Linked DNA regions of Tamandua tetradactyla. The protein of the gene in region 3 interacts with the protein of the main gene of each other region in a biochemical or structural test. Links are inferred from orthologs where the notes say so. Each region holds a gene or a part of one and is shown on either strand. Other genes may lie near its edges.

Region 1 (7,957 bases), on a different chromosome or scaffold from region 3:
GACTCTGAGTTTCTTGGGCACTCCCAAGGTTGTGGGGGTGGTAAGGAGAATGTAACTCTAAGGATTGTGAATATATATTTATTTCACTTTGCATTTTTTGTCTTTTTAAGCAATCGCAATTCAAGAGAACACAAGCTTTCCAAAGGCAATGTGAGAATTATTCAAACATTCCCACTGTTTTAGCTACCCCCAGATGAAGCCACTTGTTTCAAGATGCCTTAGTTTGGGGTTGGAGTTGCATCTAAACCACATATTTTTCTTATTAGATAAATTAATACATATGGTTCCTCACAGCTCCCCTTTAATGGGTTTGTTCAATTCATCTCCCAATGGCATTAAATGGCATTTTGTGACTGGGACACCAGAGGGCACCACTATAACACAAGCTGCCTCAAGAGTCAGGCTTGGGGTTGGGGTATTTTTCTTTTGAGGGAAGGCAGAAGATAGTTCTAGTTTGATTATTTAAGAGATTGCTGTATTTTTATAACTCAAGCTTGAAATGTAAACCATGTGTGAGATGACTGTCAGAGAACAAGTGACCAAGTCTCATTCCCCTGAGCTCTTCTGCCTGCCTTTGCCTTTCTGACTTGGGCTTGAGTTTGGGAACTCGATATGTGTACAAATGATCTGTTGGCCAGTGTTTCATTCATCCTTCCCGCTGTATCCCTGCAATGTGATCTGGACTGCAGCAGGTGGTATGGGGTAGAAGGATGAACAGAGAGAGCCATCTGAAATGAACACTACCCACTAGTGTGTGTAGGAGAGGATAGTTCAGACATACGATTCTACATGTTGTGACCATTTTCACACTCCTTTATGGAGCATTTGAGCGGGGAGCACAGTTGCATACCTAGAAGTTGGGAAAGTATCTGGGGTTATAAGGGTTAATAAGCATAATTGCAAGATTGTCCGAAGGCTGATGGAAAGCAGAGACTGAATGGGATTGAGAACAGATGCGAGGCTTGATTTAAATTACATTTTATTGGATACTGCAACCTAAAGAGACGTGACTGCTTTACAGTTAGTTTCCACACTGTGGGCAGCTGCTGTCTGTTCTGTGTCCACAGTAGGATCCTGCCCAAAAAGGAGCAGCCTCCCCACCTCGTTGTATTTGAGGCTTGGCGCCTTCCTCTTAACTGTGGGGCTTGAGTCAGGAACATGGCTTGACTCGCAGTGGGGCTGCAATGTATCCTCCGTGGCTGCCAGCCAAGATCACATTTGCAGATTCAAAGGAGCCAAATTTCTCTCTACCTCCTTTCTCTCCCTTTCCCCTGGTATTTGGAAATAGGTTTTTCTGAGTATTGGTTTGTTGGTTTCCTTTCCTTCAGTTCTCCCCCCACTCAATTTCTAGGTCATTGCTGCTCTCAAGACTTCAGCAATTGGAACAGGGTTGGTTCTGTCACTGATGCGTGAAGCAGACTTAGAATCCCTGCCTGGCTTCCGCTGCCCTTGTGGGAGCAAAAGCCGATGTATGTTTGTCAGTAAAGTCTTAAGTGTAATTCAGACAGCCAGGGAGCAGGTTGAGAGGAGGAAGAAAGTCCTTTCCTTGCTGGCTTTTCTCACTTAGCTATAGCTAAGAGCTATAGTAAGGTGGTCAAATTTTTAGTGGGCTGGGCTGAGCTTGTGGTTACTAGTTTTTGCCAGGATCATCGGCTGCTTCACATGGAGTGGTGGCAGAGATGCTGACATACATTTTTCCTCTTGAAGGTGGTGGGATATGTCCTGATTTGTGTGTGTGTGTGTATATATTCCCCCCCCCCCCAAAAAAAACAAGCTTCTTAGAGTGCTGGTGGGTATTGCCATGGAAAAAATCAGGCACAATAAAGTTGGCGCAAGTTTCAGCCTGAGCTGCCACCTCTGATACCAAAAAAAGTTGGTGGACCCCTATTCCCTACTCCATCCCCCCCAACCATTGGTACCTACTTTTATTGAGTGCCATATTAATATACACCAATGAGAACTGGGGTGTGGAGATGAGGTAGAGCTTGGGGACTAAAAAATAACATTTTTTTCAAGAGGTGTTACCTTGACTGCAACTGAGGAAAACCTAGAAGAGAGCCAAGGTGGAGATTTTATTCACATTTGGCTCTATCCCCAGTACTTAGTTCAGTATCTGGTACCTGGTGGGTAATCAATCCATAATTGTTGAATAAATGGATAAATGAACCCAGTAAGATGCTGCCTGTCTTCCCATTTTTAAACAGTTCAACATTGTGGGTGCTTTTGCATTGGGATGTTGAGCAGGCCCCTGCACACGAAGGGTGTTCCATCTTATGAGATGTGTCTTAGCACAGTTGTGGGGCATTTATTGGCCTCATAGATGCCTACCACTCAGTCCCTCTGATGTGGCATTTTGCTTGAGGCAACTTCCATTTTGCTCCAGGGACATTTTGCTGTAAGGAGAGAGTCCTACCTGAAGGCTGGGAAGAGGGGTGCCTGTCTGGATGTCACCTAGTGTTACTGGAGATTGGCCAGAAGCTGTGCCTTCAGTTGGCAAGGGATTAGGAGGGAACCCACCTTTGCTTTCCTGCTTTTTAACTTTGGAGAAGTTGTCAATCTCACCATCCTCCCCCAAAAAAATAAGGTGCCATCATAGGCATAAACAGCCCAGGTCTCCCTCTAAAGATCTATAGGGGAGAAGGCCTGCCCTTTGGTTTTCCCTTGATTTCTAACCCCAGCCCTAAGGCAGTAGAAGCTAATTGGGTACAAGAGGCCTGGGTAAGGTTCTCTGAAGACTGGCGAAAGGAGAAAGCAAGCTCCTTTTTAAAACAGCTCTAATTGAGTTCTGAATCAGCCTCACTCCCTTTGATCTCGCCTCTGTTTCCCACACTGCCTGAAAGAGCTAGATCAGCACTTTATAACAAGGGTGCGCCTGCTCCCCGTGCCTCCCCCCACCCCCTTGATGCTCTGCTGCCGCCATCCACTGCTTGTCTCCTTCAGTTAAGATAATGAAGATGCTGAGAGATAAAATGTGTATTTAATAAGGGTGGGGGTAGGGAGCAGAAAGGGGCAGCCAGGGCCTTCTAGTTTGGGGCCTAGCCAAGATGAGCTTTGAAAGCAAAGCTAGAGTAAGACTTGGCCCCAGGGTGTAGGGGTTTCTGGGCCTCAGTCCAGCTGACTTCACTGCCTACTGTTGCCCTAAATTCCCCCACCTCCACCCTCTCACCCCCACACTTCCCTTCCTCTCTTCTTGCTCCCAATGGGAAAAAGGACTCTTGCTCCAACTTTCTTTTTCAGCTGGTAATTTGGCCTTTCCTGTGGTGCCCCCACTGGAGTCAGCTGCAAGGTTGGACTGGGGCAGCCCCCTCTAGCCTAGGCCTGTAGAAGCTGTGGGTTCATGGTGGGGGGTGAAAAGCTGGAGTTAATGAAGACCAGCTGCTAGTCTGGGTTCTGCCTCCAGCTAGCTGGAGGCCAGCCTTTGGTAGTGGTTAGAGGTTCTGGGGTATGTGACCTCCGTCCCTGGGCACAAGGATATCCTGTGGCAGATGAGCCTTGTGCTTCTCTGCAGCTTGGTTTTATCCTCAGTTTGTAAGAGAGTAGTCTGTTTCCTTCTTCCCTTACTCCTCCTTTCCCCAAATAACACTCAGCCCTTACTGAGCTTTATAACTAGTGGTGGCCCAGCTGAGATCTGAGGAGCTCCAAGCCCTTTTGTAAACACTCATTAACTCTGCCTGGGAAGAACCAAGAGTCCTGTTTAACAGCTGGGAGAGAACTGAGGCACCTCGGGGTGAAAGGCTTGACCTGAGCTCACATCACCGACTCCACCCTGGGGCCCTCCATCCTTACTGTCTAGCTCCTTCCCCAGTTCTTCTTGTAGACAGAGGTGGAGGCAGTGCTGTTGCCCTTTCCCCTTCTAGGAAAAGGCCATGCTCTCTCCCTCCCTTAAGTCTGTCCCTGGCTTCCCTGGCCTTTCACCCCATGACATTTCCCCTGCTCTGCTGCTAGAGAAATGTGCAACCCTCCTTGCAAAATGTTCTCAATCCACCCCTCTGTAGACTTCCCATCCCCCCCTTTCTTTGCCCACCTATCCCACCAAACCTGAGTTTTTCTCTTTGAGCTACTGAGAAGGTTGGCTATCCTAAAGTAAGTCAGTAATTCATCTGACCAACTCTTCTGCCTTACATTTATGTCCCAAATGGCATCTGGGGAAAACTTCCCTTTCTTTAATTTGTTCATTCTGGTAAAAATCCAGAACCCTACTGAGGACTGGGTCAGAGCACTAGCTGACTTTTAGGTTCTGCATTCTGTTCTGATATTTACAATTGCCATTTCTGTCAACCGATGTAGCTGAAAGTGTTTTCTCCCTTCTCCCCTAGCCCTACTTGCTCATACCCTCACCTGAATATGCGTATTTATATCCACACACACAAATGCACACACCTCACCCTCAGGATGTAAAGTTCTATCTTTTTTCAGCTGCAATTCAGGTCATCCTGCCCACTTTACTTACCAGAAAACCAAGTAGATATTTCCCCTCAGATGGCTCCTTAGGCCCTTAGAAATAGTGGGGAGGGATGGAAAGCCTTTGCTCTATCTGTGAAGGGAAGGATAGTAGGTAGAAGCAGGCATGAGCACCCCACCCCTTCAAAGATTAGTGCTTGTCGCTCCAGTTTAGTAGGGGTAACAAGAAAAGGGATCTTAACCCCATCTCTAGCACTAAAGCCCAAATCCATCTTCAGGGAAGTCAAGAAGAAATGTTTATTCCCTACTCTCCCGTAATATCCTGTCCTCAGCTAAGTCATCCATGTGCTATGTATTTGGGACTTGAGACCTTTCCTATCCCTAGACCGTGACTCAGACTTCCATCTTTCCTCCAGAGTGTTATTTCTCTCCCATCGGTTCTCAGCTCCTTATCTCTGCACCTGCTGACCTAGTCAGAGCTGGTAGAAGAGGGCGGGGAGATCCTAGCATTAGGGGAGTGGACTTTAGGACCCAACGGGAGCCTGTGCTTCTTGCAGCAGCCTAACCAGAAGCAGGGGGGAATCCTGAATCGAGCTGAGAGGGCTTCCCCGGTTCTCCTGGGAACCCCACCATACCCCTGCCAACACACCTGAGCAGGTAGGACAAAACACACCCCTTCCCAATTATCCCTTGTCTGCTTTCTACCCAGGTCTCTCTGCTTCTGATCTTACCGTTTCCCTCTTGCCAGTTCAGGCTTTCCCCATCCCTCCTCCCCCATTGCTCACTGTGTCTTGGGAGGTGGGAGTCTGGGAACAGCGGGGTGTCTGAAAGCTCAGAGGCCCTGAACCCTCCAGCACCCTTCCTGCATTTTCCCCAAGGCATTCCCCAATCTGTAGCTGAAACTGGAAAGTGGGAGGAAGGTCTGCCCAGGCCCCACGCCCTTGCACCTACCTTTGCAGTATTGCCCAATATCCCTCACCAAGACAAGAAAATTGGCAAATGTTGGGGTGATAGAGAGTGGAGGGAGCAGGAGGAGGGACCTTGTGAGGGAACTGAGGTCTTCCAGGTTCATCTCACACTTGGGTGGCCAAAGGCTTTGCTGGAGGGTGGTGGAGGTTGTCGGCATTTAGGTGGCCTTTCCCTCTAGGGAAAGTTCAGTTAGAGCCCCTCATCATTGCCAACATGTCAACACCCATTGGAAAGATCCCTACTGACCTGGGGTGTGTGTGTATGTGAGGAGAGACCATGTGGTTGTAAGCTCTGTAAGCTTTGAATGTAGGTGGCTATGGTAAGGGGAGGGATCCCGGAGTATAACCCAGGCTAGAACAGACTCAGCCCATATGGCTGGGGAAGGGGGTGTGGACCAGATGGGAAGACCTCCCAGCCATGCCAGTTCCTTGGGTGCCTTGGCTTCAGAGACTCTGGCTCCTGGTGTTACCCCAGAGCTGGGAGGCCCTGTAGCTCCCACCCTCCTGCAGCCTCTGGGAGAGGCTAGATGACACCTACTGTTTGCAGTGGCTTATTTTCCCCTCCCGTGGTGGACTGATAGGCCCTGCTTTCTGAAGATCAGAGTTATCTTCTTCTGGTTCGGTAGGTTTGCAGGAGCGGGTGTATGACTTGTCTAAGTAACTGCCTGTGAATCTGTATATTGCCTCTGGGAATAGTAGAATGGGGAGGTGATAGAAGAGAGTGGGAACTCTTTGGGAGAACCCCTGCAGTTCTCAGTGTAGTAGGGGTGGGGTGGGTGGTATGCCCCCTGGTAATGCGGTCTAGGTGTGGGCTGTGCTCTGCATTCCTCCTTGGCTTCCCCAGAGTCCCGAGGGTTGGGCTTGGAGGACAGGGCAGATAAAGCACTGGCTTCAGACTTAGTTCAGCTCTTGACCTGAGGAGGGAAGTAGAGATTCTCAGTGTGAGCAATAGCCTGGAAGTAGAGGGCTGAATTTAAGACTCAGCCCGGATGTTTAACAATTTGCATTTATACAGGGTTCCCCACTCTCTAAGCCTCTTTCTTCATCTGTAAAAGTGGCTATCAATAGCAAGCCCTGCCTGCCTGACTGGACACTGCCATAAAGACCCCACAAAATAATGTAAATCCTAAAGCCCAGTGTAAATGGTAGTGATGGTCTGGGCTTCTCTCAGATGGGCTCCTCTTCCTAGATCTAGGTCAAGCTCTCTGCCTTTAGGTTCCTTCCCCTGTCCTTGCTTATCTGAGGGATGGAGGAGCCAGGCAGGGTTATTGCCCCAGGGGCTACAGAATTCCCCTACTGTAGATTGTGGCTGTCACAAGAGAGCCTGTGGTCAAGACAGGACAGATGTCTCCAGCAGCCTTCTCTTCCTCTGGGACTCCATACCTTCTCCCCTAAGCCCTGTCTTCACTTGCCTTCTGCCATCCCTGCTCGGAGTCCTTGTCCCTGTCTCTCCCCTGTCCTGTGGCCTCCGTGTCCAGCTCACTGGGCGAGAGCCCTAATCGGATTTGACAGCTGAGATATGTGTGGCGGCTGAGAGCTGGCAGGAGGGAAGCCAGTGGGAGGATGGTGTGAGGGCCGCCCCTGGCACTGCCCAGGCCTCCTGAGTGCCACCTTGAGCCTGCCAACTCCTCAACCTGGCCCCTGGGAAGTATAGGATCAAAAGTCTGGCATCTGGAAATTAGGGACGGGGGAAACACACCGAGGTGTTTGAAGGGCTTCATGTCAGTATGTCGACTCTGATGGGGACAAGAGGACAGGGAAGTCAGGCTGGCCTCACCTCCTTCCTATCCCCACCACCCCAGTTTTTTCTCTCCTCTGGTTCAGCAGAAGTGTATTCACTTTCTCTAGCTGATGCCTTTGGCCAGCACCTCCTTATGGGTCACATCTAGGAGTTGCTGGGGACACCAAGCATCTACCTGGCTCTGGGCTGTTTCCTCCCCTCCGAGGTATTTCACTCACTCTCTGGGCCAGGCGCCAGGGCTCCTGGGCTCCTGGGTTTCCCGCCTGCCTCATGGTACGGGGCTCCCCTGCAGGTCTCCAGAGTCGCTAAGCTGGTTCCTTCCTACTGTATGGGGAGGGCCTTCTCCCAGCACTGGGAGGTGTCAGGAATCCCAGTAGGAGAGGAGTGAGGGCACAGTAGCTCCTGGCACTGCAGCACCCCGACTCCCGGCTCCTAGTCTCTAACTGAGCTTAGGTGCAGCAGATGCAGGTGGCAGGTCTGGCAGTTTGGCCGTCTTCTCTTCCAGGCTTCCATCTTTACATGTGGGTAGCCAAGATCTTCTGCTCTCCTTTGAGCCTTTTTCCCTACGGTATCTGGGAGTGGCTATCGAAACCCCTCTGTCTGCACCCACACATTTTGGGGAGCAGGAGATTAGCGTAATTGAGGCTGGGGCACTATTTTATCTTGCCTCCAGTTGGGCCGGGGTGAGGGAAACTGGCACTAACTTCCACAGGTCAATTCCCTCTACCCTCAAAAGACCAACGTGTGGAGCCAGGCCCTGCCCTCTCAGTGCCCACAATGTGGTTGGCACTGATTTGTCAGGAATTGGGAAGGTTTCCCTCCAAACTGCTCACCTCCTCACTCCTCC
Region 2 (7,889 bases), on a different chromosome or scaffold from region 3:
TGTGGCCTCAGTTCTCCTACACGGAAAATGGGGATAATGATAAACCACAGGAGGCAGGGGAACATCCCAGTTAAAAGCGACAGTTCTGGAGTGAAGCTGCCAATGTTTGGAATCCCTACTCTACTACTCACACAAGCATCAACCTGACTGTGCCTCAATTCCTTCGTCTGTAAAAGGGAGGAAATAATCGTTCATTGGACGATGGTTATGAGGACTGGATGAGATGATTCTTGTAAAGTAAGCAGCTCAGGGCTTTAGGAAATGGTTAATGCTCAGTCAACACAAACTTTTATTACTATTCTAACTGCCTGTGCCACATGGCTGTTAAGAGGGTTAAATGAGATAATGTATGAACACCATCTGGTATGCAAGAAATGTTTGCTTGAAAATGAATGTTTGCCTTATGGGAATGATTTAGGCAAAAAAAAGTGAGGAAAACTCCCAACAGCACACTCCTACTCAAAAAATAGTCCTTGGCCATACATCAGAAGGTTGAGGAACAAATGTATATTTATATTTTAAGATAAAACAAAGATTAAGTATAAATGAATGAATGAATGAATGAATGAATAATGCCATCTGGCTCATCTCTAGAAAGGGCTTTTCAAGGATATCTGGACCAATCCTGCTGTTTTATGGATGGGAAGGCCCAGAGAGAGGTAGTGACTTGCTTAAGATCACACAGCAAGTCAGGGGGTAAATGTGGAGATTTCCTGTTCAGTTTGTGGTGGGGGCAGCAAACTCTGCAGTACAAATCTCCACTCTTTGGTGGAGGGCTGGAACAGGCAGGGTAATGGGTGTGAAAAGCTGCTGAGAGAATCCATCAAACCAGGCAGGAAGTGGACAACAAACTCAGAAAGCGAGATTGGGGAAGGGCAACAAAGGTTAGTCTGTCCCTCCCTGGGCAAGGTTCAAATTCAGAGGTACCTGGGGTAGGGCTCTGAGAGGGAAGTCAAAGGAAGGCAGATTCTCATCCGGGGGGAAGAAGAAGAAAGCAACAAGAAGCACTTGATTTTAGGCTTCCTAAACTTTAGTTTCCTCATCTTTACGATGGACCTGGTGAGGCCTATCTTGACAGAGGGCAGTTGGAAGATACGAAATAGCACTTCGTAGACACAACCCCTGACACATAGTAGGTCCTCAAGAAAAGGCAGCTTTCTTCTTGCCTGCCTGCCTTCCAGCCCAGGGATACAAAGAGGAAAGAATCGTCAGTCTATTAAGCAAGAACTGACCGTGGGCAGAGGCTGGATCACACCACAGATCTGCAGATGTCAGGAGACAAAGATCCCATACAGACCATCTTGCCCAGCCCCCCAGAGGCCCAGAGCAGGGATGGGACTGGCCCAAGGTCACACAGCCTGTCTGAGCAGGGTCAGAATCCTACTGAGGCCTCCCAACCCTTTTACACTCTGGCCTCTCTTGTGCTGGAAAGTTTCTTTCATGGAGTTTGTTTTGAAGGTTGGATGGGAAGAAGGAAACAGAAAGAAGGCCAGTGTTCCCCCAGCCTAGCTCCAAAGTCATGCCTGGCCAGCCATCTGGCCAGGGTGAAGGATACACATCCCTCATGGCTTCCAGGGTGGGCGCCCGCAGAATGTCCCGGATGCCAATGACGTTCTCATGGCGGAAGCGCAGCAAGATCTGGATCTCCCGCAGTGTGCGCTGGCAGTAGGTCTGATGTTCGAAGGGGCTGATCTTCTTGATGGCTACACGAGTCTTGCGCACGTGGTCATAAGCTGAGCTGAGAGGGCCAGGGAGATGATGATGGTGTGGCCTTACAAAGGGGGAGTCCAGAGCCTGGTGGCTGGCTCCACCCTAGCCTTGGCAGGGAGGGGAGGGAGCAGGAGAGGGCTCTGGCCAAGTCATAAACAATGCTGGTTCCTTCCTGCTGGTGAAGGGTTGGGATCTCCAGGGAAAAGGCTGGGGAGCAGCCAGGAGGCCCTTCGGTGACTTTACAAACAGAGGAAGAGACTGACCGCTCACTGACTTCCCCTCTCCTTAACCCTCTTCCATTCCAGTTGCCCTGACTCACCCTCATCCCCCCCCCCACCGCCCTTTCCAGAATGGGCTCTTTCCACCCCAGACAGGTTCAGGGGGTAGAAGGTGAGTGAAGGACACACAATGAGGCAGAGGGAGTTGGAGGAGGGCCTGGAAGGAAAGGTCAAGGCAGGGGCAGGTCTCAGGGTGAGGTACCTGGGCAGCAGAGCAGTTCCCAGAGGAACAAAGGCCCAGAGCAGACAGGGCGGCTGGAAGAACTTATAGATCCCCTCCCAAAAGATGCAGGGGGGCACTCCGGGTGCTCTCATCACTCACTGGGTCCCTGGTCCCCTGCCAAAATCCTGCCCCACCCTGCCCAGCCCCAAGCTCTGCTCTTCTCTCCCAAACTCTCTGGGACAGCCTCACTGGGAGATCTAAGGCCTCCTCTCCCCAAAGGAGGGTCCTTCACTCCCCCTTCACTGAGGATATCACCTCCCCAAGAATGAAATCTTTGCTTCACCCCAAGGGCCCCCTTCCCTCCCATGGTCCCCACAGCTTCCCCACATACACTCAGATGCCCCTCCTTGCATTATAGGGGGGTCCGTTCAAAGCCTCCGAGGCCCCTACCTTAAAACGTTCGCAGCACCCCGCCCCCCCGCCCGCCCCCCAGAAAGCACTCAAAGGCCCCTTCCCCCCGGACGCTCCCCGAGCCTCTTGAGTCCCTCGCCAATTCAGGACGCTCTAAGTCTCCAGGTCTCAGGAAGCACGCAGCACCCCACTCCCTCCCCTCCCTCGCTCTCGGAGCCCCCTCCTCCTCGATAACCCCCTCCAAGAACGCCCCCTCACCTGACCATGCCGTATGCGCCCTCGCCGATGTACTGCAGCTGCGTGTAGCGCGGGCCCACATCGAACGGCTGTCCCTTCACTACCTCCACTTCCCCCGAGACCCCCGGCCCGACCCCATCAGCTCCCCGGGGCTCCCTGCCCCCGCCCCCCTCAGCCGCCGCTGCCGCCGCCGCCGCCGCCATCTCCACCTCTCCCCTCCCGCCCGCCCGGCGGCTCCGCCCGAGGCCCCGCCCCTTCCCGCTCGCCCTGTCACTCGCGGGGTCGCGCGCGCCAGGCCCCGCCCCCGGGCACGCCCCGCCCCCGAGGGCGCCGCGCCCCCGCCGAGCTCGAGCGAGGGCCGGCGACCGGTCACGTGGCCCGCTCCTACGCGCGCCCGGCTTTCCCGCCGCGGGTGTGGTAGTCCTGGGCGCGACAGCTGGGGTCCGCGAAGAAGGGCCTGGGGGGAGGGTAGAGGGGGTCAGTGGCACGGCCAGCCCAATGCGGCCCGGCCCGTGAACTTCTCCGAGGCCACCCAGCGAGCATGTGGTGGAGCCAGGACGTTGCGCTGACCGCGAGGCGGCCGGGGGTCGCGAGACGGAGCCGTCCTCTCAATCCGCTGCAGCCCGGCCCTGAGGATGAGTGAGGCCGTCGGTATTTCCCGGGGGCCGTGTGAGAGGGCTTCCTGGTGGCTGTGGTCTGCCCTGTGCAGATGCAGAAACTGAAGCCTCGAGAGGGGGCCGGCACAGGCGAGAGCTGGGGAACCCTGAGGGCCTGGCCCCCAACCTAGTGGCTTAGGGACAAAGGCCGGACATCCTTAACCTGGGGAGCAGGGGAAAGGCCAGAAAGCTGCAGGCAAAGTTGAGTGGGTTTGATTAAAATTCGCTAGCAGGCTCTTCTCAAAAAACAAAAACAAAACACACACACACACAAACCAGCAAAGTAGGTAGTGTTTTTGTTGCTGATGGAGTTGGCAAAATTGGAATCCTGGCAAGATCATCATCTTTCGAATCTGTACCAGATTTTATAATTCTGATATTCAGACACTCAAATAAGAACAAATCACGTTTTACAGATGAGGACTCTGAGACTTGGGTTAACTGACTTGGCTAATGTCATAGCAATAATGACAGCTGAGACTCAAAATGATGTCGTCTGTTGAAGGGGGCGAGGCTCTCTAATTTCTTATTATCTCTCAGAACCATGAATTGTTAGAACTGGAGAAAAATCCCTTAGAGACCACCCAGCCTACCCCCTTTGTTGCACACTGAAGATGTGAGCTGAAAGCTTCACAAAAACCCATATCTCCTAGGCTTCAGTAAGTAATCATGTTGTTTATTTCTTCCTGAGTAGCTAGAAGTAGGTTCTTGTATGCCTTCCAGATCAAGAGACAAAATGGAACAGTAATTATGATTCTGAAATGGCTCATAATTGAATTCACCGCTAGGCAGTCTGACTCAGATGGGTGAGACTGAGTGGCTGCCTTTTCAATAGCTGGCACCTCTGAAGGTTCAAGAGGTGCTAATCAGAGCAGTGTTTTTTTCAGTTATTCATTTAGTGAACTATAAAATGGTGGTGCGAAGCTCTAGCTAAGCTCTGTTGAAAAATTACTGTACAGTATAAAATTAATGGAGAGGAGCTCTCTGGAGTCAGCTTGCCTGAGTTAGAATCGCATCTTTGTTACTTACTCCCTGTGTTTTTTGGGGGGTGGATTATCTATCATCCTCTTTACTTGTGAAGTTTATAATTTACTAAAAAGATAAAATGTACATATATAAATCAATTTAATTCAGGGTAGATGGAAGTATACCCCCCAAAATTGAAAACAGACACTCAAATGCATGTACAATCACGTCATAGTGGTGTTATTCACGATAGCTAGAAGGTGGGAACAACTCATATGTCCATCAACAGTTGATTGGAAAAACAAATTTTGGGTTATATATACACTTACAAGCATGCACAAATAGAATGGAATATTATTTAGTCATAAAAAGGAATGAAGTTCTGTTAAATACTATGTGTGACTGAACCTTGGAAACATTATGATAAATGAAAGAAGCCAGACACAAAAGCGCACGTATTGTGTGATTCCACTTATATGAATAATTCAGAGTAGATAAACGCTTGAAGACAGAGAGCAGATTGATGATGGCCAGGGGCTGGGGGGGCGGGGGGGAAGGTTGGGGAATAGGGAGTTACTGTTAATGGGTATGGGTTTCCTTTTGGGATGATGACAATGTTTTAGAACTAGATAGAGGTGGTGGTTGCAGGGCAGCATGAATGTACTAAATGCCCCAGAGTTATTCGCTTTAAAATAGTTAATTTTATGTAATGTTAATTTCATCTCTATAAAAAATGATGGATGGATATAATATGAAGCGTGGGAGCTCAAGGGTGAGAGAGGTCACTCTGGAGAAGTGAGGGAAGGATAAATGGAAGTGATATTTGAGCCATTGAAAAGGCAGGATTTCAGCAGGACCCAAGAAAGGAAAGGCAGCAGCATGAGCCAAGGCGGAGAGGCAGGAGCTTGGCTTGTCCAGGGTAGCTGGAATGTGAAGAATTAAGAGTTCAGGCTGGAGAGGTAGGATGGGGGAAGACTGAGAAAGGCCTTGGATTCTGGCAAGGAGTTTGGATCTTACTCAGTAAGCAGTAAAAACCTTTGAGGGATTTTTGCCAGATCATTTTGCAACTGCAGGAGCGTATAGTGACTCAGAGAAAACACCATGGAGTTCAGCACTGAGCCAGGTTTCTTGAGTGGGAGTGAGTTTCTCAGCATAGGAAAGGCTGATATATCTGGAGGGACAATTTGCCACCTCTTGCTGCATTTTTGAGGTTCATTTTAAGGGTGTGGTACGGAGACTCCCCTCTAGTGGTTGAGGTTGATATTTCCTTGGAGGAATGGGCTGGTATTTCTTAGTCTATTTAATTGATTCATATTCAGCTTCTATAAATTGAGCATCTCTCCTTTGCCAGGCACTTTTATGTACCATATCTCCTGTGATCTTCCCAATAGCCATATGAAATACATACCAGTATCTCCATTTAACAGAAAAAAGTGCAGGAACTTACTGAAATTGTAGAGTTGGAAGGGAATAATTTTCTCCACCAGGTAGTTCATTACTTTACAGCTGATTGCATCGTTAGTTTTTCTAATGGCCACTATTTGGCTTAGTTTTGTCCTCTGGATCTACCCAGATTAAATCTTAAACCCAGTTCTTATCTTTTTATGATTGCAAGGCCTTGTTTTTTCAGAGCACAAATGAATATTTTGATTAACTCAACAAATCAGCACGGCCCAAGAAGGCAGCAAGTGTGCAGGAATGGGGTGAGAAGACATTTAAACATTTATCAAGGTTTAAGTACTGACCTTTTTTTTTTTTTAATCCAGAAAACTTCCACTATAGTTTTCTTGTGACTCCTCTTCAAATGTTATACAGTAGGTATCCCCAAACAACTCTCCTTTGAAATAAGCATTCTTTAGCTGGCCCTTCTCTGAAGTCTTTGTAATCAGTTCTGCCTACCCCCTCTGAATCCTTCCCTGGACTAGCCTTCTGTTCTGGTTTGCTAGCTGCCAGAATGCGATATACCAGAAATGGAAAGACTTCTAAAAGGGGGATTTATTAAGTTGCAAGTTTACTGTTCTATGGCCATGAAATTGTCCAAATTAAAGCAAGTCTATAGAAATGGCCAAATTAAGGCACCAACAAGATGTTACCTTCACTCAAGAAAGGCTGATAAAGGTCAGGGTTTCTCTCTCAACTGAAAAGGCACATGGCGTACATGGCAACATCTGCTAGCTGTCTTTACAGGCTTCTTGTTCCTTGAAGCTCTCCTGGTGGTATTTTCCGTCATCTCCAAAGGTCTCCGGCTGGTGGACTCTGTTGCTGTCCCCAAAATATTTTCTCTTTTAAAGAATTCCATTAAACTAATCAAGATCCATCTGGAATGGGAGAAGTCACATCTCCCTCTAATCAAAAGTTAATACCCACAGGGTGGTGCAATGGTGGCTCAGTGGCAGAATTCCTGCCTACCATACCATGCTGGAGACCTGGGTTTGATTCCCAGTGCCTGCTCTTGAAAAAAAAAAAGATTGAATGAGGATTAAAGGACATGGCTTTTCTGGGGTCCACCACAAATTCAAACCGGCACACCTTCTTACTCCCTTCTTCCTCTACGGTGTCTCCCTTAATCACATTATATTCTTGTGACATCAACTTTTTCCTTTATGTAAATCTCTATCCTTAGTAATTATCCTTCTCTCTAGTTCCAGTTACAGATTGCCAATGTTTGTTGGATAGCCTCACCTGAGGCTAGTTGATACATAATTTTTGTTTGTTTCTTTTTCTTGTTTGATATCACTTCTTATATCTTCGTGCTCTGTTGTTAGGTACATATATATTTATAATTGTTTTTATCTTCCTAATGGATTTACCCTTTTATCATTATAAAATATACCTCTGTCTCTGTAATGTATTTTGTTATAAAGTCTATTTTGTCTGTTATTAGTGTAGCCACTCCAGCTTTCTTATGGTTGTTGTTTGCATGATCTATCTTTTTCTTTTCTATTTTTTTACTTTCAACTATTTGTATCATTGAATCTAAAGTGTGTTCTTATGATTACCCAGTCTGACGATCTCTGCCTTTTGATTAGATTGCTCAATCCATGTACATTTCATATTATCAACATTGTTGGATTTAGATCTGCCATTTTACTTTTTGTTTTCTCTCTGTCTCACCTATTTTTTTTAATTGTGAAAAATAACATACATACGAAAAAGCAATAAATTTCAAAGCACACCAGAGCAATTAGTTGTAGAACAGATCTCAGAGTGTGGTATGGGTAACAATTTCACGATTTTAGGTTTTTATTTCTAACTGCTCCAAGATACTGGAGACTAAAAGAAATATCAGTATAATAATTCGGCACTCATACTCTTTTGTTAAACTGTAGCTTCTCTGTATAAATCCACCATCTCCTTTGATCTTTCTCCCAATCTTTAGGGTTATTTGGGCTATGTGTCTCACCTGTTTTTTTTTTATTTTTTTTTATTTTTTTAAATTTTTTTATTAACGGAAAGAAAAAAAAAAGA
Region 3 (7,042 bases):
TCACAGTAACTGTGCCGGCAGGGATGGAGGCAGCTGAGGCAATGGGTGTAAGGGTGGTGTTGCTGCTGCTGGTCTGTCCCAAGGAAACACCCTGCATTGGGGCCAAGGTGATTGTCTGGGCCTGTGGGTTCTGAACTTGGAGGTTCTGCAGCTGAAGAGTTTGCCAACTGACCTGTCCGTTGGGCCCCACTGTTGGTGTCCGGATGATGATAGGACCAGAGTTTGGAACAGCCTGAAGCTGGAGGTTCTGGAGGGTTTCCTGGGAGATAGCTTGAGTTGTAAAGGTCTGCCCTGACAATGGTGCAGCTTGAAGGGCCTGGAGGGCCTGTCCTCCTTGAACTAGCTGAGGCTGGATAAGAATCTGTTGTTGCTGTGTCTGCTGGTTTTGCTCCCCCTCTTTCTGTTGACTTGCTTGCAGTGAGCCTCCAGATGTCTGGTTCTGCTGGATGTTCAAAGCATCAGATCCCTGTAGCCCACTGATCCTTTGAGGTGTCTGACCTTGAGAGTTGGTCCCTGCTGATCCACTGGTGGTAAAGTTCATAATTCCCATGTTGCTGGTGGTAGTAGTTGTTGAGTAGCTATTGGCATTGGTGAAAAAGGAACTGGAACTGGCTTGCGATGATACCAAGTTGGCAGAACTGATGGCAGTCCCTGAAGTGACAGGCTGTGAGCTGCTCTCTTGGGACCCAGAGCTGCTGATCGTGACTGCCTGAGAGCTGGGAGTCAAGGTAGCTGCAGAAACGCTATTGACAGGTAGCAAGGTGATGTTCCCATTCAGGGCCACTGGTACATTGGCCACATACTGAGCCTGTCCTGAGAGCACATTATTAGCTAGGCCCTGAAGGGGGACAGCCTGCTGGAGGAGGTTTGGCATAGCAGCAATAATGTTGCCTCCACTTCCTCGATTTGTGATGATTTGTTGGCTTGCACCTGGTATGATCTGTATTTGACCAGAACCATCCTGCTGCACTTGGGCCCCAGTGGCAGCAAATTGCAGCTGTTGCCCATCAACAGTCTGGAACTGTGGAATTACTTGATACTGAATGTTGGGCATCACCCCAGGTAGTCCTGTCAGGACTTGCTGGTTCTGTAAATTGGGTGTAGCAGCCACAACATACTGCCCACCAGAGACTGTGCGATTCTTGGAAGACTCACTGCCGTTGCTGCCACTGGTACTGCTACCACTTTGTTCCTTTGAGGTAGGAGTAGCCCCAGAGGAGGAAGAGATGATCTGCCAGCCATTGGCACCCTGTGAGAGTTGTGTGGCTGTAAGGTCCAGCTCACCTGTGCCCCCAGCCTGGCCTGGCCCCTGGGAGTTATTGCTGTTCTCATTGGGTGACTCAATTCTGCTGCATGTTGCTGCCAACAGGGCCAAAGGGGATGGCTGGGATTCCTAGCCAGAAAATATAGAAAAGGAAAGGAGTTAGTGATAACAAGCTACCAACCCAGGGGGAAGTACATAACATAGAGCAAAATAGTGCAGACACATGAGCAAAAACAGAAACAAAAAGCCAGCCTATCTATATTGCTGAAATTCCTGTCTTTGAAGATCTCCAAGGTAGTCGTCTCTCTGTGCTTACTTCCCCACCTGAAAAACAGTTCTGTTTCTTCCTAAATTTTATTCTGCAAAGAGTAAGGCAATTATCTAGAAGCACTTACATCCCCTCAATACCTTCTTTCATTGTGTCCCACTATCACTTACTTGCCCTCCTCCACTGCTGCTACTGCCAGTGCTGCTGCTGCGAGCCTGAGAAAAGGCACCACCACCATTACCACTGCCCCCATTGTTGCCACCAACTCCTTTTTCAATCTTCACCACGGCTGTCATTTCATCCATGGAGTGATCTTGGTCTAAAAAGAACGAAAAGGCAAACAACTTAAAGTTAAGGGAAGAAACAAGGTAAAGTGAGAAAGGGTAAAGTGACAAAGGAGGCTATGATGAAACAGAAATAACTAAGAGAAAGGTGAAGGACGCCAAGGTAAAGAAAGTGGACTGAGGGAGAAAACTGTAGACTGTGAATAAGCTTAGTGGTGCCAGAACTGGGCCTCAATTTTTCTTTGCACAAAATTAAACTCTGAAAACATTCAAAATATGCTTTTGGGATTGGAACTATGAGGGACTGTGGGCATGTTGAAAGTTTTAAAATAAGAAAAAGTATGCGGGAGAAAAAAAGGAGAAGGAGAGGCAAGGCAAAAAACAACATGTGGGTGGATGGGAAGCTTGCTAAAATTATGGTTAAAGAAAATGGAGGAAAAATACGAATGTATAAAGTAGCAAGAGAAGAGAAGGAGAAACCGGTAAAGAAAAGGTAAAAAATGTGTGCGATGGGGAAACCCGCGAATACAGTAAACCGGTAAAAGGGGTCTGGGGTTAGATATCAGGAGGTTTCGGGGCGGGAAGAGGGCGGGTCCTAGAGGGAAAGGGCGGTTTCGGGGTGAGGGGCGTGGAAAGGGCGGGCCGGTGGGGGGAGGGGAAATGTAGGGGAAGGGGAGGGAGGGCCTTGGGGCAGGCGGTGACCAGAGGGCGAACCAGGGAGGCGGTTGGCCCGGGCGGGGCCTGCAGCACTCGGGCCGCCCCCGCGGCTCCAGCCCCACACAGGAGGAGCCTCAGGCAGGCGGACGAGTAGTGGGGGGTAAGGCCCGTCCCCCGTGGCCGGGGCGGGCAGGGGGCGGGCGAGGCCACGCTGCCCCCTCCCCCGGGGCGGGCGGCCCATCCCCCTCCTCCTCGGAGGCCCCGCCACTGCCCCTTCTCCCTCCCTTCCCTCCGCCCCGGGCGGGACCAAGGCCGCCGCCGCCGCCTCCCGCCCGCCCCCCCTCACGGCGGGGACCGCCCGGTCGGTCCTTGCGCGCGCCCCCTTACTCCCCTCCCACCCCTAAGCTCGGAGTGGACTCATCCTTACCGCTCATGGTGGCAGCTGAGGGACGAGCTCAAGGGGGTCCTGTCCGGGGGGGTTGGGGGGGGCCAGGAAAAACGCGGACGCTGACGAGGCAAGCGAACCTAGACCGGACAGGGAGGGGGGGTTAAGGAGGAGGGAGCAGCGCGCCACAAGCCCGGCCTAGGCTCCGCCCCTTCGCTGCTGCCCCGCCCAATGAGGGAGGGGGAAAGGAGGGACTTGCAGAAGAAAGGCGGGCAGATTATCCAATGGCAAGGCTCGCTTGCGCTCTAGGGCGTGTAATGCAGAGTTGCGTACCTGGTGTCCGCCCAAAAAGACCGCCTTCAAAATTTTAAAAACCAATGAAAAATGCAGGAAGTGAAAGTGGGCAGGAGCTAGACATGACGGGCTTTCAGGGAAACCAGTCAACGGCCAGGCGGGCTCCCTGAGAGGTAGGTATAGGGAGAACTTTGATAGGAGTGACAGACCAACGACCAACCAGAATCTTGGACGTGCCTGGGCAAAGTCCTGGGGAGGAGAAGTAAGAAGTAGGCAGGAATGGGATAGGATGAAGCAGATTAAAACCAATCAGATATCAGGCGGGCAGTCAGGAAAGTTATGATTGGGTAAAATCTGAAAAGAGACAGGTTAGGACTCATATTGACGTGGACGAAAAGCCAATTACCCGCCTAATGAGCTCTGAGGGCGGGAACTTGGAGTGGCCAAGGGAGAATTGGCGTCTCGCTCAGTCATTCGGCCCAACGAGGGGGCTAGGTAATCCAGACACCTCCCTCATATTGACTAATGGGCGTTACTTAGAGCCGCCCATGGTGGGAGGGGACTGGGCTGTGCCAGGAGAAGACCGTCGCCATATTGGCCCTCCCAGGAGACGTCTTTAGTTATTAGGTAGTATGCTTAAACCGAGCTTTCCAACTCCACAGGTGTCAGGCCCAGGACTAAGAAGTCGCTTTTGGCGCGAATTTCCACCCATCCACTCTGGCTCGTTTGAGTCCTTATTTAACAGCCTTTAAAAGGCAACGCTGACGTCTCATTCCTCCCCTGGCGGACGAATGCCTTAGAGTGTGGGTGTAAGCCCTCTGAGTGCAGGCATCACGAAATTTGGCGTCAGCGCTTGCAAAAGTAGTTAACACTTAAATGACCAATTTTGCAAGAGAGTCCAGCGAACGCCATTTCATTAAATTATCCGACAAAGGCACTAGTTTCTTAATGACCGGTTTAGTTTTCAAGAGCTTGTCTTTCAGGCTAAAGCGCGTTAGGGAATCTTCCGTACTCCAAGTCCTGAACTGCTTCTCCGATACCCGCACCCCCGCCCTTAATTGTAAATATCGCCGAAACATAAAGCAAGATAGCCGAGTTACTGCTTTTTATAACCACAGTGATGAAAGAAGATTTTGCACAAGTCACCTGAATTCTGTCCTCCATTTTGCATCCCCTTTACCCTAGTTTTGGTGGAGAAGGCCTGGGTGGCTTGTAAATGACATGAAGTTATTCTTTTAGTACTTGTATCTTGTATGTTGTCACTTTATTATCTGCATTACAGCACTTCATTATATGCTGTCATGTTTTAAAGTCTGGATTCTCCTAAAAGATGTTAAGCCCTTTGAAGGTAGGAAGTGAGGCCGCTGCTGATTTGGACAGGGGCTGGAAGAGAGAAAATGATTGTGGAGTGCCTGCTGTATTAGATACCTAGGTCCATTAGGACTTTGCATTTCTTAAGTAATTCTTATAAGGAAGATAGAACTTAAGTATTTGGGACATTATTATGTATTTTACAGGGGAAAAAATTGGGGTAACTTGGCCAAGGTCACAAAAATAAGTTTGTAGGTGCCAGATTCCAACCCAGAGTAATCCACAGAAATTTATTCACAGTTCCTTGTATTACTGTTTATATAAATGGGCTTAATTAAAAAACTGTTTTAAAAACTTTTATTGCTACCTTCTACCTCCTGAAAAGAAAATTTCTGCCCATACTGCCTGCACAGCTCAATCTTCTTTGTACACCTTTATTATAAAACTCATCACATTACGTACAATTCCTTGCATCTTTCCCTGGATTAAAGTTTCCAAAGACTAGTCTATATCAGAATCCTATGGGGTATTTCTTAATCAGGTTCCTAGACCCCACCCTAGACCTAGTAAATGTGGGTTAGAGGGTAGAATGGGTCTTCAGAATATGATTGGGAGAGGAGTGTGGGGTGGGGGTGGGGAGGTGGTTACTTTGTATTACAAATATTCCACATCCATGACTGTTCAATAGGAAGTTCTCTAAAGTGATGCCTTCAGCCTTGGCCAGTCCAGGAATGGTGTCATCTGACTTCCTCATCCTGCGAATTTCCTCGCAGACTGTAAGTTTTAAACTGGCTGCTGAACCTGCCTGTGACCTTGTGCAGCTCGGTCCCATTGATCTGGACGGGAGTGTGGTCCTTGGTGCCAATGGTGAAGCTGCTGGCGGAGCGTTGCCGCGGCACATACAGCTCCGCGAACTCGCCGGAGTGCTTCTTCCCGTCAAGGCAGTGCCTGGTGCCCACGATAACGCACGGGAGCCGAGAAAGGTTTGAGAACATGAATTTTTAAGTGGCTTTTTCAAGTAATTAGTTCCTAAACCAGAGTTTGGTAAATAGTAAGGGAAGAAACTGGAAGGAAGAAACTTCCTGGAGGGAAAAACCAGCATTACTCAATCTTGTAAACCATGCTCTGGAGATTCTAAACAGCTGTTTGGCATATTCAGCAAAGGGCCACACCTAAGCTGTCTAGGGCGGGGGAAAGAAACTAACATTTATATTGTCGAGCTTAATCCTTTCACCGATTGAAGAGATTATCATCCTTTTTTACAGATGAGAATACTAAGGCTCAGATCCTTTAGTTAATTGTGACTGTTCTGTTCAGCTTCAAAGTCTGTTTTTTTCCGTGGTTCTATGCTGGTCTATGCCTGAAATGAGAAGTAGGCTCTAATTTTATCCCAGGTTCTGAGGAAAAGGCCTAGATTTTGATCCAGAAATACAATAGCCACCTTCCTTTTTACAATCCTTTCCCTTTGTTCCTTCTAGGACAACACAGAATTCAGTGCCTAGCCAGTGAGGCTTGTCCTGGTCATATCCTTCCTTACTGAGAGAACCTGAGAGCTAATGAACTATGATCTATTCTCCTGTGAATTTTCTTTAGATTTAGTCCCCACAACCCCCCCCCCAATTGAATGAATACGTTTATTTCAAGACTTCTCAAATCCTTCACCCATCAGTGTCAGTCTATGCAACCATCTGTGACATCATTGAAGTTACTCCTGTTTTTAAAAAGCAATGTGGAAAATTTAAAAAAAAGTTTTTTTGAAGCAATGTGGATCATTTGAGGATTGTTTTACTTCAGAACCACTCTTATGAACAGACTGTGCCTGGCTGTGTAGTAAGCCTCACATGGGAAAAATGGTGGCATTCCTGTATGCAGTATGGTCTGTACTGCACTTATTCATTATTTAGGCTCATCATCCACTACTGTTCATGGTACTTAGTATTTGTTGAAGTTTCACCCAAAACCATAGGGTTTTTTTTTTTTGGGGGGGGGTTGTCTCCAAAGTCCAGACCTTCTGGGCTGTCAAACAAATTGTTATTCTTAACTTTGATAAGAAGGATTCCTGTGAGCTCTTTCCTACCTCCCCTGGTATGAACATTTGTCCATTATGCATTTTTGTTTTGTTTTTACATACCTCCATGAGAGTTATCTGTTAAGACCCTAGTCTTCCTCAAATAGAGTAGGTAATTTGAGAGTAGGGATGATAGCTTTTCATTTTGTATACTCTCTATCTAGCATGTAGTTGACACAAACACTTAGTGAAAGGTGAAACCTAGTCCCCACCATCCTGAAAAGATTTCCAGATGATCACAGTGCTAAGAATTGATTCTCAGCCTTCATTTGATTGTCTTACACAGCAGGTTAAATCATTCTTCCTGATTTTGAAGCCACTCTTCAGCTTTGGTCAGTTACCCATTTAGCTATCTTATAACTAGGAGTATTTTACAAATTAAAATACACAGATGAACTGCACAACGCAATTAGTGAACCCTAAGTTAAACATGGACAATAATTAATAGTACAATTATAAAAATAGTACAATTATAAAATGTCTTCATCAATTGTAGTAAATGTACACCAGT
Region 4 (7,926 bases), on a different chromosome or scaffold from region 3:
ACAGCACATGCCACTTGATACAAACTTTAAAGCAACCTGAAAGACCACACTATCCTTTGGTGAGCAATCCTACATAGATAGTTGGGGGGAGGCAATAATGTAACTTGAGGAGAGCATCAGCTACATTTCTAAAGTCCAGTAGAGAGTAGTTTTTACTGCTTGATAGTAAGAAGCTCTGAGATTTTGACACTCTTAACTCTTTCAACTCCACTCATTATTAATCTACAGATAATGCAGAAAAGAGGTGGAGGATACTTTTTCAATATTTTATTGTATTTTCTTAAATATCCTTTCTGGAATTTTCAGAAACAAAACATAAAAAAATTATATATTTTATTACAAATGGTAAACTCAGAGTGCTCCAAATCTCTTATTTACAAACAACAATGGGTAGGATACCCAAACAAACAAACATGAAATAACTTACAAAGGCATGAAGCTGTTTATTGACAGTAATCAGCTTTCATCAAATTAAAAAATATATATGTACATACACAGTTAATGAAGGCAGGCCAGAAAGAGTTCATCTGTTGGCTCAGCCTCCCTCTCTACAAACCGTCCTCCCGCCTCCCCTCCCCGCCCCACCCCCCTTTGTGTTCTTAAAGAGTACTACAGAAGCAATCTACAGTCTCTATTGAAGTTTGTAATCCCTGTCCCTCCCCCTCCCCCCTTGTAATACTGAATGAGATCGAATGTTAGGTCCATGCAGTTCTTGGTCAATGTTAAAGAAAAGTTTAACGTTCTGTTCGCGCGGGTACAGCCGGTCCGCAAAGCTGGGCAGCCCGCAGGCGGCCGCTCCTTGGCTCCACACCAAGGCAGGGCGCGCCAAGTCCTTCCCACTCGTGCACACTGGGGGCGCCGTCAGGACGCAACCCAGTCCAACTTGGATACCCTTGGCTTTAGTCCTCGGACACTTCTTTTTTCTCTCTCTCGCAACTTGTCAAGTTCTCAAGTCCGTCCCTCCGTGTCATTTTTTTTCTCCGTTTCCCCTCAACCCCCGACAGTCTCTCCTCAAAACGTTTGCAACTGTTGAGTTAGCATGAGTTGGCACCCACTGTTAACGTGGTTCATGACTTTCTGTTTAAGCTGTGCCACCTGTTCCCTGAGCATGTTAGCCGTGGACGCCAGCTCCGAGTTCTGCGCTTTCAAGGTTTTCACTTTTTCCTCCAGCCGGGCGATCCTCTCCAACTTCCTTTTCCGGCACTTGGAGGCAGCGATACGGTTCCTCATGCGCTTCCTCTCCGCCTTGATCCGCTCCTGTGACTCCATGTCAATGGGGGACAGGGGCGGCGTCTCCCCAGGCATCTCGGGGACCGTCTGCGGCTCCTCCTTCAGGGCCTGCAGCCGCGGGTGTTGCACCGGGATCTGCTGGGGCAGGTGGTGTGGCGGCTGAGGCGGTTGTTGCTGCTGGGGCTGCGCGGGGAAGGCCAGGCTGCCGGCGCCGTAGGAGGGCGCCCCGCCGCCGCTGCTCAGCGCGCCGGGGTTGAAGTTGCTGAGGTTGGCGTAGACCGGCGGCTCGCTGTGCAGGCTGGCGCTGAAGCCGCCGCTGCCACTGCCGCCCGCCACGGAAGCCACCGCCGGGGCCACCAGGCCCGCCCCGCTGACCGGCTGTGCCGCGGACGTGACGCTGGGCAGAGTGTTCTGGCTGTGCAGTTCGGCCAGGGCGCGCACGAAGCCCTCGGCGAAGCCCTCCTGCTCGTCGGTCACGTTCTTGGGGCACAGGAACTGGGTGGGGGTCGGTGTGGTGGTGATATGCCCGTTGCTAGACTGGATTATCAGACGCTCCAGTTCGGGAGACGCCAGTTTGAGGAGCCCCACGTCGGGAGAGGTGAGGAGGTCCGAGTTCTTGGCGCGGAGGTGCGGCTTCAGGCTGCCCACAGGATCGGCCAGGTTCAGGGTCATGCTCTGCTTCAGGATCTTGGGGTTACTGTAGCCGTAGGCGCCGCTCTCAGACTGGAGGAACGAGGCGTTGAGGGCATCGTCGTAGAAGGTTGTTTCCATCTTTGCAGTCATAGAACAGTCCGTCGCTTGAAGTGGGGTTAGTCTGGGCTGCGCGCAGAAGTTTTGGGGGCCGCAACAGCGCGCGGACAAACGGGGAACACCCGCGCCTCCCCGGGCCTTGGGCAAGCAAAGTTTCTCTAAGAGTGCGCACACCCGCGGGCTGTCCTCCCCTAGGCGCCCTCCTCACCGGCTCGCTCCAGGGAACTCAGGGTTAAGTGCCGCCTGCACTCTTTCTTACTTGTCTGTTCGCGCGCGCTGCCCGGCTTTGAAAAGTCGCGGTCACTCACTGAGCGCTTGTCTGGCGTAAAGGTTCCTCGGATTCCGCAGACGGACTCGCTTCTCGGGGACACCGGCTCTCCCGGAGGCGCTGGTCAGCTCGGACCCCGCAGTGGCCGGCCGGCGACAGGTCTCGGCCGCCCCGACTCCGACGACTGTCCCCTCCTCCGCTACCAGGGGGAGGGGGGACCGCTCGGCAGCCGCGGCTCGCGCTCGCCCAAGTTCAGCAACGCGTGAGAGCGAAGCTGGGGTGCACGTCCCTCTTCTCTCTCCTCACTCCGCCGCCGCCGCCTTCTTTACCGCCGCCGCGGCAGCTTAAGGCGGAGGAAAGGTTTGCAAAAGTTCTCTCCCGGACCTGCGGTACTTGTTCTCTCTCCCGGTCGGGAAACTTCCTTGCCGCTGCAGCCACTCGCTGGACTTCCCCAGGCAGTCGTCGCTCTCCGCGGCAGTCAGTGCCTGGGCAGCGGGGCTCTCCTCCCGGGGGCGGCTGGAGAAGGGGCTCTCCCGGCGCTCCCCAAACACCAGCCCGGAGCCACAGGCTCTAGCTCTGGGCAGTGAGTAAGGAAATGGAAAAGAAAATAAGACTTGCAGGTCGGGCTCCACTGCCGTTCTGACTGACTGACTGTGTCTATCTGTCTGTCTACCCCAGTCGGCGCACCTCCACTCCCGCCTCGCTGCTTCAGCCACACTCAGTGCAACTCTGAGCCCTTATCCAGCTCGCAGCTCAACACTTATCTGCTACCAGTCAACCCCTAAAAATAGCCCATGATGTCACCCCGAGGCCTTCCCATTGGCTTGCGTCGCTCTCTGGGGGGCGGGCCCGCCTGTCGCTATGGAGACCCCACCCTAGAAGATTCTTCTCTGGGCTCGCGGAGGCTCACGGGATGAGGTAATGCTCCGCTGCCCTCCTACAGTTGGGCCCTTCTTTCTCCTCCTTTCCCCCTCCCCCTCCCGCGCGATCTCGCCTCTCTTCACCCGCCTCTCCCCAACCCGCCCGATGCATTGTGGGCTGACGTCTTGGGGTTTGACTGTCCAGTGACGGTGGCCGCCGCGAGCGGGCGGACGGGAGCTGACGCTCGCACCTTCTGACAGAGGCAGGCTCAAGTTCAGGGCTCGCGACAGGGATGCACGGGATGCGGGGACCCGGAAGGCTGGGGAACCGGACCAGTAGTCTGGGACCGAGGGTGTGTGGGCGGTGGCATTTTCCCACTGCGGGGTCGCGGCTCGAAGTCACCTACGGACATTTCTCTACCTCGCGGGACCAGGAGGCTGGCAGCCCGCGTCTGTGCCCCACCCCCGCACTTCCGGAGGGCGGGAACGCAGCCCTTAAGGTGGTTCTGTAAAGTCTCCCGTGGGGCGAGTGAAAGTGCGCTTCAGTTTAGGGGCGGTGTGTTGGGAGTCAACACCCTCCATTGAGAACGCTCCGAAGTTTGTCTTGGTCGAGTTCAGGAGCGACAGTTCTCGCCGCCGTCTGGCTGTGCCTAGACCCGAATGATTTGCATTGCTTGAAACTGGGCGCCCCGCCAAGTCTCCGCTGCACCCCATTTCATCCTCTACCCCCTAAGTCTCCTAAGGGAGAGCGTGCGGGGGGTTATAGCTTTGCCTCAGAGGGGAGGTTTTTATATGAGGTAGGGTTGGGGCAAACTCAGCGTCCAGTTGGGAACGAGCGTTTGTTTAGGAAATCCGAAACTCGGGGAACCCGGGTGATCGTCTGTCCACGATACATTCACCACTCCGGCTCGGATTTGCTTCCGGGAAACCAAGTCTCAAGAGTGGCAGAGACTTAGCAATAGTCACGCAACGCCTTAGGGGTAGAACTAGTATTCAGAATCTCTGCTCCCTGCCGGGTGGTGGGCCCAAGTTCTGTGCAGCCTCTAGGAAGCGCTAGACACATGTAAGTGGCTCTTTTTTCTGTAATTTGATTTCTCCCCACCCCCATCTCTCCCCCACCGCCCCCCCCCCCCTTTATGGGCAGAAGTGAGTGGTGTAAAGAATACCGAAATCCGGAATCGTGGGTTCTCTCGTGGCTCAGGGCTGCTATATTGTGAAATGAAGCAAAGCACTGAACTCGGTACTTCAGGTCCCTCAACTGCGAGTGGGACCCATCTACCTCATTCGGCTACCCGGAGTCAACGTAGCATCATAGCTTCCAGGCCTAGGGAGTTGGTCCCTCCATAGCCCCCTTCCTGGAAGTTTCCCCGAGCCTTTTAGGAAGTGGATGAAATGCCAGGTTAGGAGAGTTTGATTTGGCAGTACAAGTCCACTTTCTTGTGAGGAGCAGTAATGGGAGGTGGTGAGTGAAGGGGTGAGGGAGGAAAGGTTTACAAATCAGTTCTTTATCAGGTCTTCTGTCTGAGACTGGGGCTTGAAATTGAAGCAGTTTAAGTTCCTAGGGTCTAATTCTGGTTTTTCTCCTCTGAGATTGGGGGAATTCTGTCTTGAGTTCATAATCTCCAGCCTTAAGGTATTTGTGGCTTTGAGACTTCAGAATCAACAGTAAAACAGCAGCTGGTGTGGTGTCAGTGGGAAATCTGCCAATTTTTCTTCACTCTGGGCGCTCACTTCTCATTCACTCATGCCGCAGAGGATAACAGTGGCTACTGTGAGTCAGGCCCACTGAGGCTGGGGTACAGTGAGGAGGAGTGTGTAGGTATACAGGGGTGACAAGATCCAGTTCCTTCCTTGAAGGAGGCTCATTCTTTGTTTTGTTGTCCATAATCATTTTTTTGTTGTAATCAGAAAACTTGTGTTCTTAGTAATTTTTACAATAACAATAAGAATAATTTTCATATTTTAAACACTTACCATTTTTCGGGCAATTTAAATGTGCTGTTTTCTCCCTACAACCATCTTGATATATGTGTATACTGATATAATATATATAATATGTATAATTATTATTATCTGTATTTGACATATAAGGAAGTAAATTCAGAGAGTTTAAGTATCTTGCTAAGTCATACAGGGAGCTGGAAATTAATATTCCCTGTTATCTTCTTGGCTCTGGCAAACTTTCTTGTGAAATATTAGTTGTCTGCAGAGAAAATGGAGTTTGTAGGATAGGAGAAATTGTCTCGCCTGATCCTCTGATTTGTAACTCCTTTCAGAGACTCCGTTCAGCTCCCTTATTTAGAAATTCCAAAACTTAGGAATTTGGGTATATACCTTTTTTCCTGAAGATTCTGTATGTTCCTCCCTGCCTTATGTGGTTTAGTAGGCTGATTTTCTCCTTCTGTTGAGAAATAGTGTATTTTATCCAAAAAATAACAAATCTGTTCATGTTAACGCCCCTGCTTGGAAATCTTCATTGCCTTCTTATAGGAGAGTTCTGACTCCTTTGCCTGGCAGAAGGGGCCCTTCATAATTTATTCTCCTGCTCTCTCCAGTCTCATCTTTCACTCCCAGCATCAGTCAGGAAAGCTATAACAAGCAACCTTAACATCTCAGTGGGTTAACACAATGGGAGTTTATTTCCTGCTCATGTTCCATGTCCGACGTGGGTTTTCAGGGGATTCTGCCCCTATAATCACTTAAGGAGTCACTTAAGGAAGGAGCTTCATCTCGATACATGCTTCTTACAACTACCTTGGCTAGGGGGAGAAAATGAGGCATATCAGTCAGTGGCTCTCAGAGCATTCACCTGGAAGGGACACATATCATTGGCCAAAGCAAGTTACATGAGCATGCCTAACTTTAAATCTGTGTAATCCTGCCAGGTGTATTGAAGGGAGAGAGCCAGGAATATTTGGGGAATGTTAATGTTCTGTAAGTCTCCCTTTCTGTTCACAAAATGTTTGGCTTACTCTCCTTCCACAGGAAAAACTCCCTCACTCTTCCTCAAGGGAGATAACCAGAACCATCCATTTTCAGCATTAAGCTCACTGTCCAGGATTTCTGGTGCTGGTAGTAGAGTTTACATCAGATTCACATGTAACTCCTCTTCATCTAAGGGCAAGATACTTATCCTCCACACCTCAAAATGTAATCGTGGGACAGAGACAGTACAGCTGCAGCCAACACTCCCATTTGGAAAGGGAAGAATTCAGAGACCACAGCAGATATTGGTCCACTGTGCAGACATTTGGAGGACTTCTCTATCCAGTACCCTAATTAGACTCTGGTATCACTCCATGAGTATATCTGCCCTGTCTGTTGTTTTCTGTGACCCCTGGCTTTGCCCTTTGAGAGAGTCTTGCTTTCTATGTAGGCATTGGAAAATAGGCTTTTAAATAAAATTGTAATATTTGGGGGATATTGAATCCCCAAACTTGAATCCAGTCTCACATTCTTTTCGCAGTACAACTCTCAGAAATGTATTATGTTTCTTACCTTTTTGATTCCAGGTATTCCATGTGCTAATAGCTCAGCCACTATTTTTTTCTAAACATGTTTCTAAGTTCTGTGGTTTGTCACATTTTTTTCAGTTTTCTTGCTCTCATTTCTCCCACCCTGAACTTGATTTTGAATGCTTTGGGCTTATTGGGCTTCAATGGGAGAGTCATACCTTTTCTCCCTTTTCCTGAGCCATTTTGTCCAATTGAAAATATGTGCTGTGTAGCATCTTAACACATCTTATCCAGAGGTGTTAACAATAAATTTGAAGGCCCTCCCCTTGATCAATTCTTATATCCAGGCCTTCTTTAATTGGCCCTTACTTTCTAGCTTTTCTGTTTTTTTGGTATGCTGTGTGGCAGTGGTCACATTTCATTCTTTTTCCATGTGAGTATCCTGTTATTGCAGCACCATTTGTTGAATTTTTTTTGTTTGATTTTTTGAAATTATTATTTTTATTTTTATAATAACTTTCTAAAAGTGCCCAACAGCAACCAACAGATGCTACTAACATTCTGGTTTACAGCTTCTTGCTTTTGTTGGGTAGGTTCTTGATCTGCCATCTTAGTTATCACAGTGATACGTTTGTCAATTGGATCGTCATCCTTTCATCCTCTGATAACAATGTTCTTAATTATTGCCCTGTAAATGAATCTTTAGTTTTGTTGTTGTGTATACTGTTGTTTTTGCATTTCCCTATGTCTAGGTGCCTGTTTTTATCAGTTAAAATAGGCTAGATTATACTGCCATAATGAACTCTTAAAAAAACTCAGTGGCTTAACACCAAAACTTTGTTCCTTACTGATACTACACGATCAAGGCCAGAGGGACTCTGCTGAATGTTCTCATTTAGAGACCTAGTCGGAAGTAAGTTTCGTCTTGATATATGCTTCCATAATCATCCCAATGATCTTGGCAAGGGAAAGAAAACGTGGTGAATTCATGTTGGCTTTAAAGCTTCCTACCCAAAATGACCATGTTACCTCTGTTTACATATTATCGACCAAAACTTATCACATGATCATGCCTAACTTAAAGGGTACAGGATCATGCAGTCCTACTCTGTGCCTGGAAGACAGCTGGAAATGCACACCTCTGTCTAGGCTCAATTATACTATGGTAGCCCTCCTAAAACTTTACTGGATTACAGCCATAGAGACAACTTCTTACTCATACTACATGCCATGTCATACAACATGGCTCTGTTTCATACATGTCATCTTTACTCTAGAACCCAAGCTAACAGAGTGCCTCCTCTCTGGAACATAGCTGATTGCCATGGCAGAGAGAAATTAGCATGGTGAACTACATACTGGC

Evidence for each region.
Region 1: the proteins of SP1 (region 3) and RARA form a complex in vitro, tested with the Homo sapiens proteins (2 studies listed by BioGRID). The link is inferred for Tamandua tetradactyla from reciprocal best matches to the Homo sapiens genes SP1 and RARA.
Region 2: of the proteins of SP1 (region 3) and MAPK3, one has a biochemical effect on the other in vitro, tested with the Homo sapiens proteins (2 studies listed by BioGRID). The link is inferred for Tamandua tetradactyla from reciprocal best matches to the Homo sapiens genes SP1 and MAPK3.
Region 4: the proteins of SP1 (region 3) and JUN form a complex in vitro, tested with the Homo sapiens proteins (2 studies listed by BioGRID). The link is inferred for Tamandua tetradactyla from reciprocal best matches to the Homo sapiens genes SP1 and JUN.

What each region holds. Positions count from the first base shown.
Region 1 is NC_135332.1:27,028,849-27,036,805, reverse strand, and holds the start of RARA (retinoic acid receptor alpha), read left to right. Parts: upstream 1-4,951; 5' UTR 4,952-5,058; intron 5,059-7,957. UniProt on the Homo sapiens protein: Receptor for retinoic acid. Retinoic acid receptors bind as heterodimers to their target response elements in response to their ligands, all-trans or 9-cis retinoic acid, and regulate gene expression in various biological processes.
Region 2 is NC_135349.1:24,645,720-24,653,608, forward strand, and holds the start of MAPK3 (mitogen-activated protein kinase 3), read right to left. Parts: upstream 3,003-7,889; coding exon 2,821-3,002; intron 1,739-2,820; coding exon 1,556-1,738; intron 1-1,555.
Region 3 is NC_135333.1:114,748,433-114,755,474, reverse strand, and holds the start of SP1 (transcription factor Sp1), read right to left. Parts: upstream 3,015-7,042; 5' UTR 2,908-3,014; coding exon 2,901-2,907; exon of another isoform or gene 2,876-2,900; intron 2,644-2,875; exon of another isoform or gene 2,519-2,643; intron 1,852-2,518; coding exon 1,703-1,851; intron 1,394-1,702; coding exon 1-1,393. UniProt on the Homo sapiens protein: Transcription factor that can activate or repress transcription in response to physiological and pathological stimuli.
Region 4 is NC_135328.1:162,049,569-162,057,494, reverse strand, and holds JUN (transcription factor Jun), read right to left. Parts: upstream 3,015-7,926; 5' UTR 2,014-3,014; coding exon 1,012-2,013; 3' UTR 253-1,011; downstream 1-252. UniProt on the Homo sapiens protein: Transcription factor that recognizes and binds to the AP-1 consensus motif 5'-TGA[GC]TCA-3'.